Linked DNA regions of Arabidopsis thaliana. The protein of the gene in region 1 interacts with the protein of each later gene in a pairwise test. Each region holds a gene or a part of one and is shown in the gene's direction. Other genes may lie near its edges.

Region 1 (6,234 bases):
ACATTGATGACTTTACTATCGAACAATCTCTCACTGTTCATCTAATCATTTGGTTGTCAATAAAATTGCTCTGTTACATTTGTTATAAGATATCGTTAAATAAAAAGGTGTTTTTTCCACTACTAAATTGACTGACTTGTATATTATTTTTCTGGTACATTGGTTTCGGCCTGTTTTAAAAACTCTGAATATACTCACTTGGCACTGACACACATATTCTAACCCATATTTTAGCTCATATATCAAACGATGCATGGAGGAATTTTCTGCAATCACAAGACGTCCCAGGTTTAGAATTTTTTGAGATGAATGCCATACAAACTGCCACCAATAATTTCAGTCTATCAAACAAACTCGGTCCTGGTGGATTTGGTTCTGTTTACAAGGCGAGAAACGTTTTATCCTCTTTGCTCTTTTTCTTTTCTGTCATTTCTTGACATGACATTTGCAACTTGTTTCAGGGAAAACTGCAAGATGGAAGAGAAATTGCGGTAAAACGTCTTTCTAGCAGCTCTGGGCAGGGCAAACAGGAGTTCATGAATGAAATAGTACTGATATCAAAACTCCAACACAGAAACTTAGTCCGGGTTTTGGGATGCTGCGTCGAAGGAACAGAGAAGCTATTGATTTATGGGTTCTTGAAAAACAAAAGCCTGGATACTTTTGTCTTTGGTGGGTCACTTCTTACCCCTTTCGTGTAGTTTTCCCCTTTATATCTGGAATTTCTTATCTGATAGCTTGTATACTTAGATGCAAGAAAAAAGCTCGAACTTGATTGGCCAAAGAGATTTGAGATCATTGAAGGTATTGCACGTGGACTTCTCTATCTCCACCGTGACTCACGCCTCAGAGTAATTCACCGAGACCTGAAGGTCAGCAACATTCTTCTGGATGAGAAAATGAACCCGAAAATATCAGATTTTGGTTTGGCTCGGATGTTTCAGGGAACCCAATATCAGGAAAAAACTCGCAGGGTTGTCGGAACTCTGTAAGAACCATCCCTTGATAACATATTAAACTAGATTGGTAGTCATATATTAAATTGGGTGAAACTATTTGATCTTTGAACAGAGGATATATGTCTCCTGAGTATGCATGGACTGGCGTATTCTCTGAGAAATCCGATATCTACAGTTTCGGAGTTCTGTTGTTAGAAATCATCAGCGGAAAGAAGATCTCAAGTTTCAGCTATGGCGAGGAGGGAAAAGCACTTCTTGCATATGTTAGTAAGACTTTATGTTTTCATGCATTTGCAGAGGTTGCAAAAGGTTTGTTGCTTTGATATTCTTAAGAGTGGAAACTGAAAAACAGGCATGGGAATGTTGGTGTGAAACCCGAGAAGTTAATTTTTTGGACCAAGCTCTTGCTGATTCTAGTCACCCATCTGAAGTTGGAAGGTGTGTACAGATTGGTTTGCTCTGTGTTCAACACGAGCCTGCAGACAGACCAAACACACTTGAGTTGCTGTCTATGCTTACCACAACATCAGATCTTCCTCTGCCCAAAAAACCCACATTTGTAGTGCACACTAGAAAAGACGAATCACCGTCAAATGATTCGATGATCACTGTCAATGAGATGACAGAGTCTGTGATCCAAGGACGTTGAAACTGTAGAATTGGAATTATTCTCTATAAGGATCAAAATTTCTAATGGTTGTAAAATTACATCCCTTCCTTTATTATTCAGAAACTTTTTATCTATGTGGAAACTGTTTGGTAAAATTGACTAAGGTATATTTTATTAGGCATGATTACATGATTCCACTTCCCACTAAATTGACAAAATACTTTGCTCAAAAACAAATCGTTGACTCTACTTCATTTTAAGACTTCCCGGGAGATTATTCTCGGGCCTAGTGGCACACCAATGTTGACTGTTGAATTCTTCGGTTCTTTTGGACAGAAACAGTTAAGCCCATATGGTTGGAGTTGGGAATCAGTCGATTAGGGTCATTACGGGTCTAACGACATTAGCGAGGCTCGGAGGTTTTTTTTATGCACTGCAAGTGTTCGAGGAAATGTCTAAACGAGATAAAACATAGCCTGCATTTCAAGAAAGTTATTGTGTTGTAATGGTGAAGCAAGGATTGGATTCTTTCGATTGATGCAGAACTAATAAGGACTTGAACAATGACAACGTTGCGTATCTGATTGGGTAAGGACTTCTTCGTGCCAATCTATCATGTATGCATTGTTTCTATTATTGATGCAGAGCTAATAAGGACTTGGAATTGTCTCCCACTCATTCACGTTGTTATTTGTTTAGTGAGCAGTTACTTTCTGAACACCTTTTTTGTGTATTTAAGTAAATGATTGTCTTTGAATGGAATAGAAGAAAATTTGCAGTAACTTATTCTAAAGTCTTTGATAACCAAAGTCTTCTTCTTTTTGTTCTTGATAGCATTGAACAATGACAACGTTGCGTATCTGATTGGGTAAGGACTTATTCGTGCTTTGACACTTTTGTTCTCTATTATCAAATAACGCATGATTTTTGGAACATTAGTAAAGATTATTAAATAACGCATGATTTTTGTTCTGTATTATTCTCACAAGTCAGTCCCTGAGTTGACAAAACAAAAAATGTGCAAAGAGAGTTTTTTTTTTTTTTTTTCTTGCTTTCTCGCTTTATGTAAAGCTAATCTAAAAAAGATAGTTTTTGGAGAGAAATAACAAATATGGGGAAGAAGTGGATCGTGTTCTTTGCTTATTTGCTCTTATCTAGCTTCTTTATAAGTTCTAGCTCTGCAGGGATAACGAAAGAAAGTCCTTTGCCAATAGGACAAACTCTCAGCTCCTCTAATGGTTTTTATGAACTGGGGTTCTTCAATTTTAATAACTCCCAGAATCAGTATGTCGGAATCTGGTTCAAGGGTATTATTCCCCGGGTGGTTGTGTGGGTGGCCAATAGAGAAAAGCCTGTTACAGATTCCACGGCAAATCTCGCTATCAGCAACAATGGAAGTCTTCTGTTATTTAATGGCAAACATGGCGTTGCATGGTCCAGTGGAGAAGCTCTTGTTTCTAACGGGTCTCGTGCAGAGCTTTCAGACACCGGAAATCTTATTGTCATAGACAATTTTTCGGGAAGAACTCTATGGCAAAGCTTTGACCATCTTGGTGATACTATGCTTCCTTCCTCAACCCTGAAGTATAACCTCGCCACTGGCGAGAAGCAGGTGTTGAGTTCTTGGAAAAGTTACACTGATCCATCGGTTGGCGACTTTGTGCTTCAGATTACGCCACAAGTGCCAACGCAGGTGCTTGTTACGAAAGGATCAACGCCTTATTATAGAAGCGGTCCATGGGCTAAAACAAGGTTCACGGGGATACCGCTAATGGATGACACATTTACAGGTCCAGTCAGCGTTCAGCAGGATACAAATGGGTCAGGATCTCTCACTTATTTAAACAGAAACGATAGACTTCAACGTACAATGCTAACATCAAAGGGCACACAGGAGTTGTCTTGGCATAATGGGACGGACTGGGTATTGAACTTTGTGGCTCCAGAACACTCATGTGATTACTACGGTGTATGTGGACCTTTTGGGTTATGTGTGAAGTCTGTTCCTCCAAAATGTACGTGTTTCAAAGGGTTTGTTCCTAAACTCATTGAGGAGTGGAAAAGAGGAAACTGGACTGGTGGTTGTGTGAGGCGTACCGAACTATATTGTCAAGGAAACTCTACTGGCAAATATGCAAACGTGTTCCATCCTGTTGCCAGGATAAAGCCTCCAGACTTTTACGAATTTGCAAGTTTTGTGAATGTTGAAGAATGCCAGAAAAGTTGCCTCCACAATTGTTCTTGCTTGGCCTTTGCTTATATCGATGGAATTGGGTGCTTAATGTGGAACCAAGACCTAATGGACGCAGTGCAATTTTCTGAAGGAGGAGAACTTCTCTCCATTCGTCTGGCACGTTCTGAACTAGGTATGGCGCTCAAATGATTACACGGAAGAATTACTTCGTTTACAACTTTATCTACAACTCCATTGATACTCTTCTTACCGGAAGCAGCATGGCTTATTGTTTAATTTGTTTTTGTCTTATATGTCACAGGTGGAAATAAGCGCAAGAAGGCCATTACTGCTAGTATTGTGAGCCTTTCTCTTGTTGTGATAATTGCGTTTGTTGCGTTTTGTTTCTGGAGATATAGAGTGAAACATAATGGTAAAAACTGATGATCTTACTCCCTCTCTATTGATTTCTTTTCTTTATTTACAGTACTCATTTTCTTGCTATTGGTAAGACACTGATGACCTATATTATCTATAATTGAAACACTAGTTTCAGCTGATATAACAACGGATGCTTCACAAGTTTCATGGAGGAATGATCTGAAACCACAAGATGTCCCAGGTTTAGATTTCTTTGATATGCATACCATTCAAACTGCCACCAATAATTTCAGTATATCAAACAAACTCGGACAAGGTGGATTTGGCCCTGTTTATAAGGTTAGAGAATTTTTAACCTCTTTGCTCTTTTCTATTCTTTGCTTATGCTCTCCAGATGACCTTATGCAATGTGTTTCAGGGTAAGCTGCAAGATGGGAAAGAAATTGCTGTAAAACGGCTTTCTAGCAGCTCGGGCCAGGGCAAAGAGGAGTTCATGAATGAAATAGTACTCATCTCAAAACTACAACATAAAAACTTAGTTCGGATTTTGGGATGTTGCATTGAAGGAGAAGAGAAGCTATTGATTTATGAGTTCATGTTGAACAATAGCCTTGATACCTTTCTCTTCGGTGGGTTCCTTCTTGCTTCATTCCTTTACTATCAGCAACTTTTTCTCTACATGGAACTGTCTTATCTGATTGTTCATACTCTATATTGTCGCTTAGATTCAAGAAAAAGGCTTGAGATTGACTGGCCAAAGAGATTGGATATCATTCAAGGTATTGCGCGTGGAATTCACTATCTCCATCGTGACTCACACCTCAAGGTTATTCACCGAGATCTGAAGGTTAGCAATATTCTTCTTGACGAGAAGATGAATCCAAAGATATCAGATTTTGGATTGGCTCGGATGTATCAGGGAACCGAATATCAGGACAATACTCGCAGGGTTGTAGGAACTCTGTAAGACTCTATTTTCCATAACATTGTTAACAAGATTCATAGTCATAAACTCATAATCGTTTATTAAACATTGGGTGAAACTATTCGATGTTCGCACAGAGGATATATGGCTCCTGAGTATGCATGGACTGGGATGTTTTCTGAAAAGTCCGACATCTATAGCTTTGGAGTTCTAATGTTAGAAATCATAAGCGGGGAGAAGATCTCAAGATTCAGCTATGGCAAAGAAGAAAAAACCCTTATTGCATATGTAAGTACAACTTTTAGGTATTCATACAGTTGCAAATGTCTCAAAACGTTTCTTGCTTTTATATTCTTAAGACCTGAATCTGAACAACAGGCGTGGGAATCTTGGTGTGATACTGGAGGAATTGATCTCTTGGACAAAGATGTCGCCGATTCATGTCGCCCACTGGAAGTTGAGAGATGTGTTCAGATCGGTCTGCTCTGTGTTCAACACCAACCTGCAGATAGACCCAACACACTTGAGTTGCTGTCTATGCTCACCACAACATCAGATCTTCCACCACCAGAACAACCGACATTTGTAGTGCACAGGAGAGATGACAAATCATCGTCTGAGGATTTGATCACTGTGAATGAGATGACAAAGTCTGTGATCTTAGGGCGTTAAGAAATGATGTTTGATCTTAGGGCGTTGATAACAAACTTCACCTTTTATTCTTTTTGTAACATATTTTTTGTATACATGAACCTCCATTCTGGTGCACCAATGATCCATGGTGTTGAAGATAATGTGACCAGAAACACTAATCAGATAATAGATTCATCATTTCATCTTCCATGTAAGCCAAAATAGAGTTCTTCACATCTAAGTTCTTCTCCTCCAACATCCGAACTTCGTTGTCGAGAAACTCTCTTTCCAACAATAAATTCCTGAATTCACTGTCTTCAATCTCCCTTTGAAACCCAAAACACATCTTCACAAAACCTTCCCTGTGTAAAAAAATTCCATAAGCAATGCTTTATCAATCAGAGGATCAAGAACACAAATGCTTGTTTACAACACAATCGATGTTTACCGCTTCTCGGTTAGTCTTGTAATTAGCTCACTATGCTCATTTCTCAAACGACAAATCTCATCCTCCAATAGCTTCAGAGAGTTTCTTGAATCAGCTTTAAGAAAA
Region 2 (3,159 bases), on another chromosome or scaffold:
AGAGCGTCGACCTTACCTCGCATCAGAATGTAGAGATCTAGCTGAAGCAGACAAATGGAGACAGCAAATTTTGAGAGAGATCGGTAGCAAAGTAGCTGAGATTCAGAACGAAGGATTAGGAGAGCACAGACTTCGAGATCTAAACGATGAGATTAACAAGCTTCTCAGGGAGAGATATCATTGGGAGCGGCGAATCGTTGAGCTAGGTGGTCACAATTACTCGAAACATTCGGCGAAGATGACGGATCTAGAAGGTAACATAATCGATGTACCTAACCCTAGTGGTCGTGGTCCTGGTTATCGTTACTTCGGAGCTGCTAAGAAACTTCCTGGTGTTAGAGAGCTTTTTGAGAAGCCTCCTGAGCTGAGGAAGCGTAAAACTAGGTATGATATATATAAAAGGATTGATGCTAGCTATTATGGGTATAGAGATGATGAAGATGGTATTTTGGAGAAGTTGGAGAGGAAATCTGAAGGAGGGATGAGGAAAAGATCGGTGGAGGAGTGGCGGAGATTAGATGAGGTTAGGAAGGAAGCTAGGAAAGGTGCTAGTGAGGTTGTGAGTGTTGGAGCTGCAGCTGCTGCGGCGAGGGAAGTGTTGTTTGAGGAGGAGGAGGATGTTGTTGAGGAGGAGAGGATGGAGAGGGAGAAAGAGGAGGAGAAAGAGAGGGAATTTGTGGTTCATGTTCCGTTGCCTGATGAGAAGGAGATTGAGAAGATGGTGTTGGAGAAGAAGAAGATGGATCTGCTTAGTAAGTATGCTAGTGAAGATTTGGTTGAGCAGCAGACTGAGGCTAAATCCATGCTCAATATTCATAGATAGAAAGGTGATCATCTCTTCTTGTAAGGCTTTTTAATCATATCATAGTATAATTTTATTGTCTGTAGTTTCTTTTGCAGTTTTTGATCAGAAAATTGACTGAACTGCTGTGTGTTTTAAGAAATTTCGATTAGAGGAATTCTAAAAATTTGTTGATGTTTCTTATATTATTACATCCTAGATTATGATCTTAGAGAATTTGCTAGATCTTGATTTATATTTCCTTAGTAGTCCTGGTCTGTTTGAGAGTATGATAAGGCTTCTGTCGAGTAATGTCATAAAGCGCGATCAATCTATAACAACAACGTACATTCTTGCTTCATTAATCAAGAGTTTCACTGACCTGAGTAATTGACCTAGTACCCTTGTATGTGGAGCTTAGATTTGCAGAAACTGTTATTTCAATGGGACATACTTTAGTTAGTGCCTTAGTGGCATGCATTAGGATGCGAAGGAATTCGTATTATATCTTCTCTTGAATTGAATCTGAGAGGCTGATACATCATCTCTATGCTTCTCAGATGCTCTGTTTTACCAACAAACTCAGCCGCGATGGTCTCTTGCCTAAAGAAGAAACGATGTTGGGCGTTTGAAATATGATTTCATGGAAACAAATGTGAAAGACTCAAGGAGAAGATACAATGTCACTTGGAACTGAACTAGTGTATTCTATTATGTAGCTCGACTTTTGTATCTTTATACTTCTGAATGTAATGCTCATTGCCTGAGGTTTATACATTGTTCCTTTGGCTCTAACTAGATTGGTGCTATGCAGAGACATAAGTTGAGACCAACCACAAGCATTTTTCTGGTTTTGATTTTACTCCCAGTAAAATATTTATTGAGTACGGACAAAACATCAAAAATCAGAACAAGACCGTTGAGATGGATAATACTTGTCTAGAGATACGAACCACACCCACATGTTCCTACACACAATCCCCAAACCATCTCTCTAACCAATAACACTTTTTCTCTCTTCTCAGTCCTTCAATGGCGGACTACGACGACGAAATTGACCAGAATAACCAACCTTTCATCCCCAAAGAAACTGCTCTACAAGCACTAAACTCAATAATCCAGCTCCACTTCGAGAAAACCTTAGAGAAGAAACGAGCCATTGACCACCAGAAGAAGAAGCTCCACAAGCTATTTCAGCTCTTCTTCATCTTCCTCGCCGTAATCTTCTTCTCCCTCTCTCAACCCTCAGGTCGTCTTCACTGCCGCCATTGCTGGGCACCCATCTGCCTCCTATCCTTCTCTCACCTCTTCTTCTACGTCTCCGTCGCTCAAACTCTCCGTTGCATCAACGGCTTCAAGTACCAGCGTCGCTGCCATAAGCTCACTCTCGGTCTCGCCACTCACAAGCTCCGTTTCATCAAGTCAAGAATCGCTGCCGGAGATTTCCTCGGTGGAGGCGACGGTGATGAGGCCTCTGCTGCTGCTTGGGATCTGGAAGTTCCGTATCAAGAACCACCTGATAGCTACTTTGGCAAGTTTAAGAGAAATTGGGCTCTCTATTTTGGGTTCTTGATCCTTCTTTACACTTTCATGATCTCTTTCTCTGTCGTTATCCTCTGTTTCTGAGATCTCTAGAGTGGCATTTTCGTAAATTTTGCAAAACCCATCTGTTTCTTATTATTCATTAGTCCTCAGCTTTAGAATGATCAAGAAGATTGAAATAAAACAAAGTTAGAATCTTTGACATTTGATTCAATCTGGTTACTGAAGCCCTAGTCAATTACTTGATTGAGAGATGGGATTAAGACAGACAATTAGCATTAATAAATCAATTAATCACAATCAAAAGTTTTGAATTTTTTTTCACAGACACAAACACAAATCCAACGGTGACAAAAAGAATAAAAGAGTTGAAAAAAAAAATTCATAGGGGAAACAAAACACAAAAACACAGCAAGGAAGATTGTTTTGAAACTAACAAGCTAAATCAATGGTCTCGGCTAGGAGTGGTTTTGTTGTTGTTAGCTCCTCCTCTACGAATCTCCTCGCTGCTCGAGGAAGACGGGTCAAGCCCGTATTCGCTCGTGTTCCCGTACTCGCTGCTTGCACCGTACTCATGACTATCCAATGCCACTTTCCTGAACTTCTTCATATCCGCACTGTAAGTGCTTGAGTCATAGTCCGAGCTTGAACCCCTCCCGAGGAATGAGCTTTGTCCCGCTTTCCCTCCTTCGCTTAGATCGTCTAGCGTTGCATCTCCCTCCAGAGCCCGAACAATCTGTTTTAACATTGGACCATAGTGATCATTCTCTTGGTGTAAAGTATATGTTTAAAAGAGTGGTCATGTTCAAAAGTAAAACTTGCCTGGCTCATCTTAG
Region 3 (4,561 bases), on another chromosome or scaffold:
GGACAACTGTTTCGATGTTGTTCATGCTCGCTCTGTTTGCAGCTTGTGGCGATCCACATTTCCTTTGTCTCCCTTGTTACGCCCAAGTTACTCTCTTCCCTCGTTCAACGAATTCCCTTCAGAAAGCAAAAACATGTGCACCCTCGAGAAGGTCCATCTCCTGATATTGCTGATGATCAGCTTTCCGATGCTCTTCAATGTTTAGTGAACGTGAAGATCCCAGCATCTATTCCAAAAAAGATCATCCCTTTGGGCCATAAGTACAGAATGATCGGTTGGGAATATAATCGCGCGACTTTTCTTCGGCTAGACAAGGAGGGAAGAAGAGGAGAATTTGTTGTGCTTCTCGAAGTCTCTGACACTTTGCTGGTGTTAACAAGTGCTGAAATGAGGTGGAAGCAGCTTGAGAACGTCCCATATACTATATGCGTTGATATAGTCACTTTTAGAGGCAGATTTTATGCACTTTTTCTTTCAGGACAAATCGTCGTTATCGATCCTTATTCGCTGGAGGTGACTCTTCTGTTGTCCTCACCTCAGGACCCGCGAGAATTACGGTCTCTGGTTCCATATGGCAAAGATGAACTTTTCCTGGTTGAGGTAATCATCCCAAATGATGTTGTAATAGACTTTAGTCGGTTAGCTCGTAGAGTGAGGAGGGTAGATGAGAAGGCTGGTAAATGGGTTGAGGTCGGTGATTTGGGAGACTGTGTATTGTTACTTGGAAATCTCTCTTGCTCGGCTAAGGAATTTCCTCGGGGTTTTGGTTTGACTGAGAACGCAGTTTTGTTCGGCGATCAGTCAGGCAATGCATTTTTATACTATAAACAAAGTGCGGTAAAAGATCTCAAGGGAGAATCGTGTGATGATACTCAACCATTTTTTCCGGTTATGGCTCTCCATGAAGACTGCTAGGCAGTAAAATCCTGCTTTAGAGAAATAAAAACATAAATTCCTATCATATTTTTAGGTATGGATTTTGTGATATCTCATGTTACCCATTGTTGGATCACTGGTATTTAATGTTGAAGTTAAATCTCAGTTCTGAGTTCTTATAACTTTTTTTCGTCATCATGATCTTTTTGAACAATTTGACACTGTCCAAAACTGAAACGTTTAGCCACGATATAGAAACTCTTTTCTTGGTCACTGATCTTTTATTGTGTGCTGCCTTGTGCAGTTTAAAAATCTTGCTACTTGAATGGAACTGGCGCTTGATGACGACGATATGGACTAAATGTAGGAAAACTACATTGCTTTTGACCGTGTAGCTCCCGAAGACTTCCTCAATAAAGCAATGGCTGATTACTCTAGCTCGTTGATATTTCCCTGGAGTCTTTGATTTTTCTCGACGTTTAAGTTAGCTTTTCCATCTTTTTAACATATTATACCGATGTCATTTTGAATGAGAATATAGCTTTTAAGTGGAATAGAGAGGGTAGACATTTGTTTTTTCAAAGTGATGAAAAGAAGTGAACTAGATTCTTTAAAGATCAGAGCATATCCACTGTGGTAGCTCACATACTAATACTGTTACGCCAGAACTTTCCCAGAGAGTGTCAATGAGAAAAGAAAATTCCTTCCAAAAGCTAAAGCTAAGTTCTTGAAATCATCTTTAAAGGAAAATGAAACTTACTTCTATAGTTAGCCTAGGGAGTTTCATTGATGGGGTTACCAAGCTCTGTGTTATTTCATTAATGTTGCGTACTAGCGTTTATTAACCGTTCCAAAAACAAGAACTCACATCACTTTACGAGTTCCTAAGATTCAAACCGATCGAAGATACCTCTTGGCAAATCAGTATCAAAAATATTCTTGGGTACAGAGGAGAGAAACAAGAGTACAAAACAATCAACAGAACGAAGAAAAGAAACATAACAACAACATAATGCAAAAACGACGTCATCTCAAGTCTATCCGAAAACCAAAGTCTTAACCGGCTCATTTGATATAAACCGTCTCAATCCCTTCGGTTCTTTGCTTTCCCAATCAATCCAACCCCAAACCAAATTCGCTCTAAATCTTAACTAGTCTCTATCCCCATTTGTCGACGCTACGAAAGGGCTCTGAAGAATCTGCAGGAAGCTCCAACTTTTTCTCCAAGTTACGGTACTACTACGACCTATCTCTTTAATCCCTGCGAATATTCTATAATGAACTGTGAATTTTCTGTTACCAACTTTTAGTTTTTCCTGTGGCAAATTGATCAAACCCAGAATTGATTATGACCTTTGGAGCTTCAGTGAAATCAATTTTTTCCTGTTGGGTTTTATTTTCCAAGAATGAACTGAGAATTTTCTAAAAATGGAAGAGTTGGATCGTTTCAGCAATTTCATCAAACCCCTAAAAAAAAGTTGTAAATTTTCGAAATTGCAGCAGTAAATTTCTGTGTTCTTCAGCAGCAAGCATGGCAATGAAAAAGAAGATATCAACATCATCGATAATGCCAGACTGGTCTCAGCTCCCTGAAGAGCTACTTCACATTATCTCAACGCATCTAGAGGATCACTATTTCGATGCTGTTCATGCCCGCTCTGTTTGCCGCTCATGGCGATCCACATTTCCATTTCCTTCTTCTCTATTACGCCAAAGTTACTCTCTTCCCGCTTTCCCTTTAGAAAGCAAAGACTTGTGCTGCACCCTGGAGAAGGTCCCTTTGTTCCTCTTTAGAGTTCTAACTCCTCCTGATGCTGCTGATGCTTCCTCCGAATATTTTCTGGGAGGATTAGGCCAAGATAAGTCAAATGATCATGTGGAGCTTCCATCTCCTCTTCAGTGCTCAGTGAAAGTCAATGTTCCAGGAACTGAGCCAATTTTGATGAACATGCTTGACTGCCAGATCATCCCTCTGGGCCATAAGTACAGATTGATGATCGGTTGCAATCCTGAAGAATACAGTGCAGCTTTTCTTCCGCTAAACGAACAAGGAGGAGGAGGCGAATTCGTTGCGCTCCTCGACTGCACTGATTTGTTTTTGGTGTTAAGAAGTACTGAAATGAGATGGATTCGGCTTGAGAAACCCTCAACTGCTTCATGTAAGGAGTTATTCACTTTTAGAGGAAGGTTCTATGCAACTTTCTTTAATGGGGACACGTTCGTTATCGATCCTTCTTCGCTGGAAGCGACTCCCCTAACACCTCATATCGACTCCAACTTTCTGGTTCCATCTGGCAATGAGGAGCTTTTCCTGGTTAAGACAGACTTCCTAAGATGTAGAGTAAGTAGGCTAGATGAGGAGGCTGCTGAATGGGTTGAGGTCAGCGATTTGGGAGACCGTGTTTTGTTTCTTGGTGGACACCTGGGGAATTTCTACTGCTCCGCTAAGGAGCTTCCTCATGGTTGTGGTTTGACTGGGGACTCGATTTTGTTCACCGTTGGGTCACGCAATGTAACTTACCCCTATAAATATGGAGTACATACAAATAAAAGAAAGGCTGAAGACAATATCAATTGTTGGAGATCCTCAAGGGAGAATCGTGTGTTGTTCCGCAACAGATATGATCCGGTCCTGTCTTTCCGGGTTGAACGCTAGGCCGCAAATTCTCACTTCAGACTGTTATTCTGTTTTTATTAGATCAAAGGCTATGTTTTCCTTTGATTTTAAGTCTAGATTTTGTGTACTTGAAAACTCGAACTATACATGATCTCTAGCAAATGTGCAATGGTCTATTGTAGTTAGTCTAGAAAGATTTGTTGGTAACCAGCTATGTTCTTATCAAACTTGTTGCAGGCATAGCAGCAATGTCGTCCCCTTATGCCATACCCTCATACAACTACTATTCTTGCTTTTATTCTGTTAAGAGCTTTTTGATCGTTGTATATTGCTACTACATTTTGGTTTGAAGTAGTGGTGCATGTGTTGCATAGTCCGTAGGTAAAACTGGTCCGAAAGCGGTAAACAGGATCACTTCGTTGTTAGTTTGTATCCTTGGGATAGTGAAGATCTTGACAGTTGGTACGTTTGAGTTTTGTATCAAATTTAAGCCTTTTCTGTGATTCAGGGAAGCTTTCAAGAAAGAAGGTGATAATCAGGAAAACTACATTGCTTTTGACTACTCGAGCTGATTGTACTTGCCTTGAGGGAGTCTTTGATTTTCTCAACGGTTAGGTAAGCTTTTCCATCTTTTTTTTTAACATATCAGATTTCCAATATTCTTGAATGAGAATATAGCTTTTAAGAATGGAAATGGAACAGAGAGGGTAGAGACTGATTTTGCAAAGTGATGGTAAGAAGTGAACTAGATTCTTTAAAGGTCAGAGCTTATCCAATGTGGTAGCTCACATTGTTATGCCACAAACTTTCCCGGAAAGTGTAAATGAGAAAAGAAAATTCCTTCCAAAAACTAAAAGCTAAAATCTTGAATCTTTAAGGAAAAGCGAAATGAAGATATAAACTTTAACTGCCCCCAAAAGACAGTAGCAGTTGCAACCACTCACATGTACTAAGGTAACGAATCCTCAAAAAACCTTAAAGAAGCTGAGGTTGAGATTTTGGACCACCATGGAAACAGCTTAGTAAGTCTAACGAGAATAAAATAAAACACAGCTAATACTAAGAACT

What was found.
Region 2: the proteins of AT1G61420 (region 1) and AT3G18800 interact in a protein complementation assay, tested with the Arabidopsis thaliana proteins (one large-scale study listed by BioGRID).
Region 3: the proteins of AT1G61420 (region 1) and AT2G24250 interact in a protein complementation assay, tested with the Arabidopsis thaliana proteins (one large-scale study listed by BioGRID).

What each region holds. Positions count from the first base shown.
Region 1 is NC_003070.9:22,660,043-22,666,276, reverse strand, and holds AT1G61420 (S-locus lectin protein kinase family protein), read left to right. Parts: upstream 1-2,102; 5' UTR 2,103-2,680; coding exon 2,681-3,935; intron 3,936-4,064; coding exon 4,065-4,175; intron 4,176-4,292; coding exon 4,293-4,462; intron 4,463-4,541; coding exon 4,542-4,752; intron 4,753-4,848; coding exon 4,849-5,086; intron 5,087-5,185; coding exon 5,186-5,336; exon of another isoform or gene 5,337-5,426; coding exon 5,427-5,720; downstream 5,721-6,234. Other genes in the region: AT1G61430 (S-locus lectin protein kinase family protein), read left to right, coding at 235-395, 462-672, 751-988, 1,072-1,222, 1,312-1,608; AT1G61415 (CAP-gly domain linker), read right to left, coding at 5,857-6,043, 6,130-6,223.
Region 2 is NC_003074.8:6,477,933-6,481,091, forward strand, and holds AT3G18800 (uncharacterized protein), read left to right. Parts: upstream 1-1,654; 5' UTR 1,655-1,813; coding exon 1,814-2,407; 3' UTR 2,408-2,531; downstream 2,532-3,159. Other genes in the region: AT3G18790 (pre-mRNA-splicing factor ISY1-like protein), read left to right, coding at 1-823; PERK6 (Protein kinase superfamily protein), read right to left, coding at 2,769-3,059, 3,146-3,159.
Region 3 is NC_003071.7:10,312,407-10,316,967, reverse strand, and holds AT2G24250 (LOW protein: F-box/kelch-repeat protein (DUF295)), read left to right. Parts: upstream 1-1,987; 5' UTR 1,988-2,109; intron 2,110-2,376; 5' UTR 2,377-2,407; coding exon 2,408-3,532; 3' UTR 3,533-3,902; downstream 3,903-4,561. Other genes in the region: AT2G24255 (LOW protein: F-box/kelch-repeat protein), read left to right, coding at 1-915.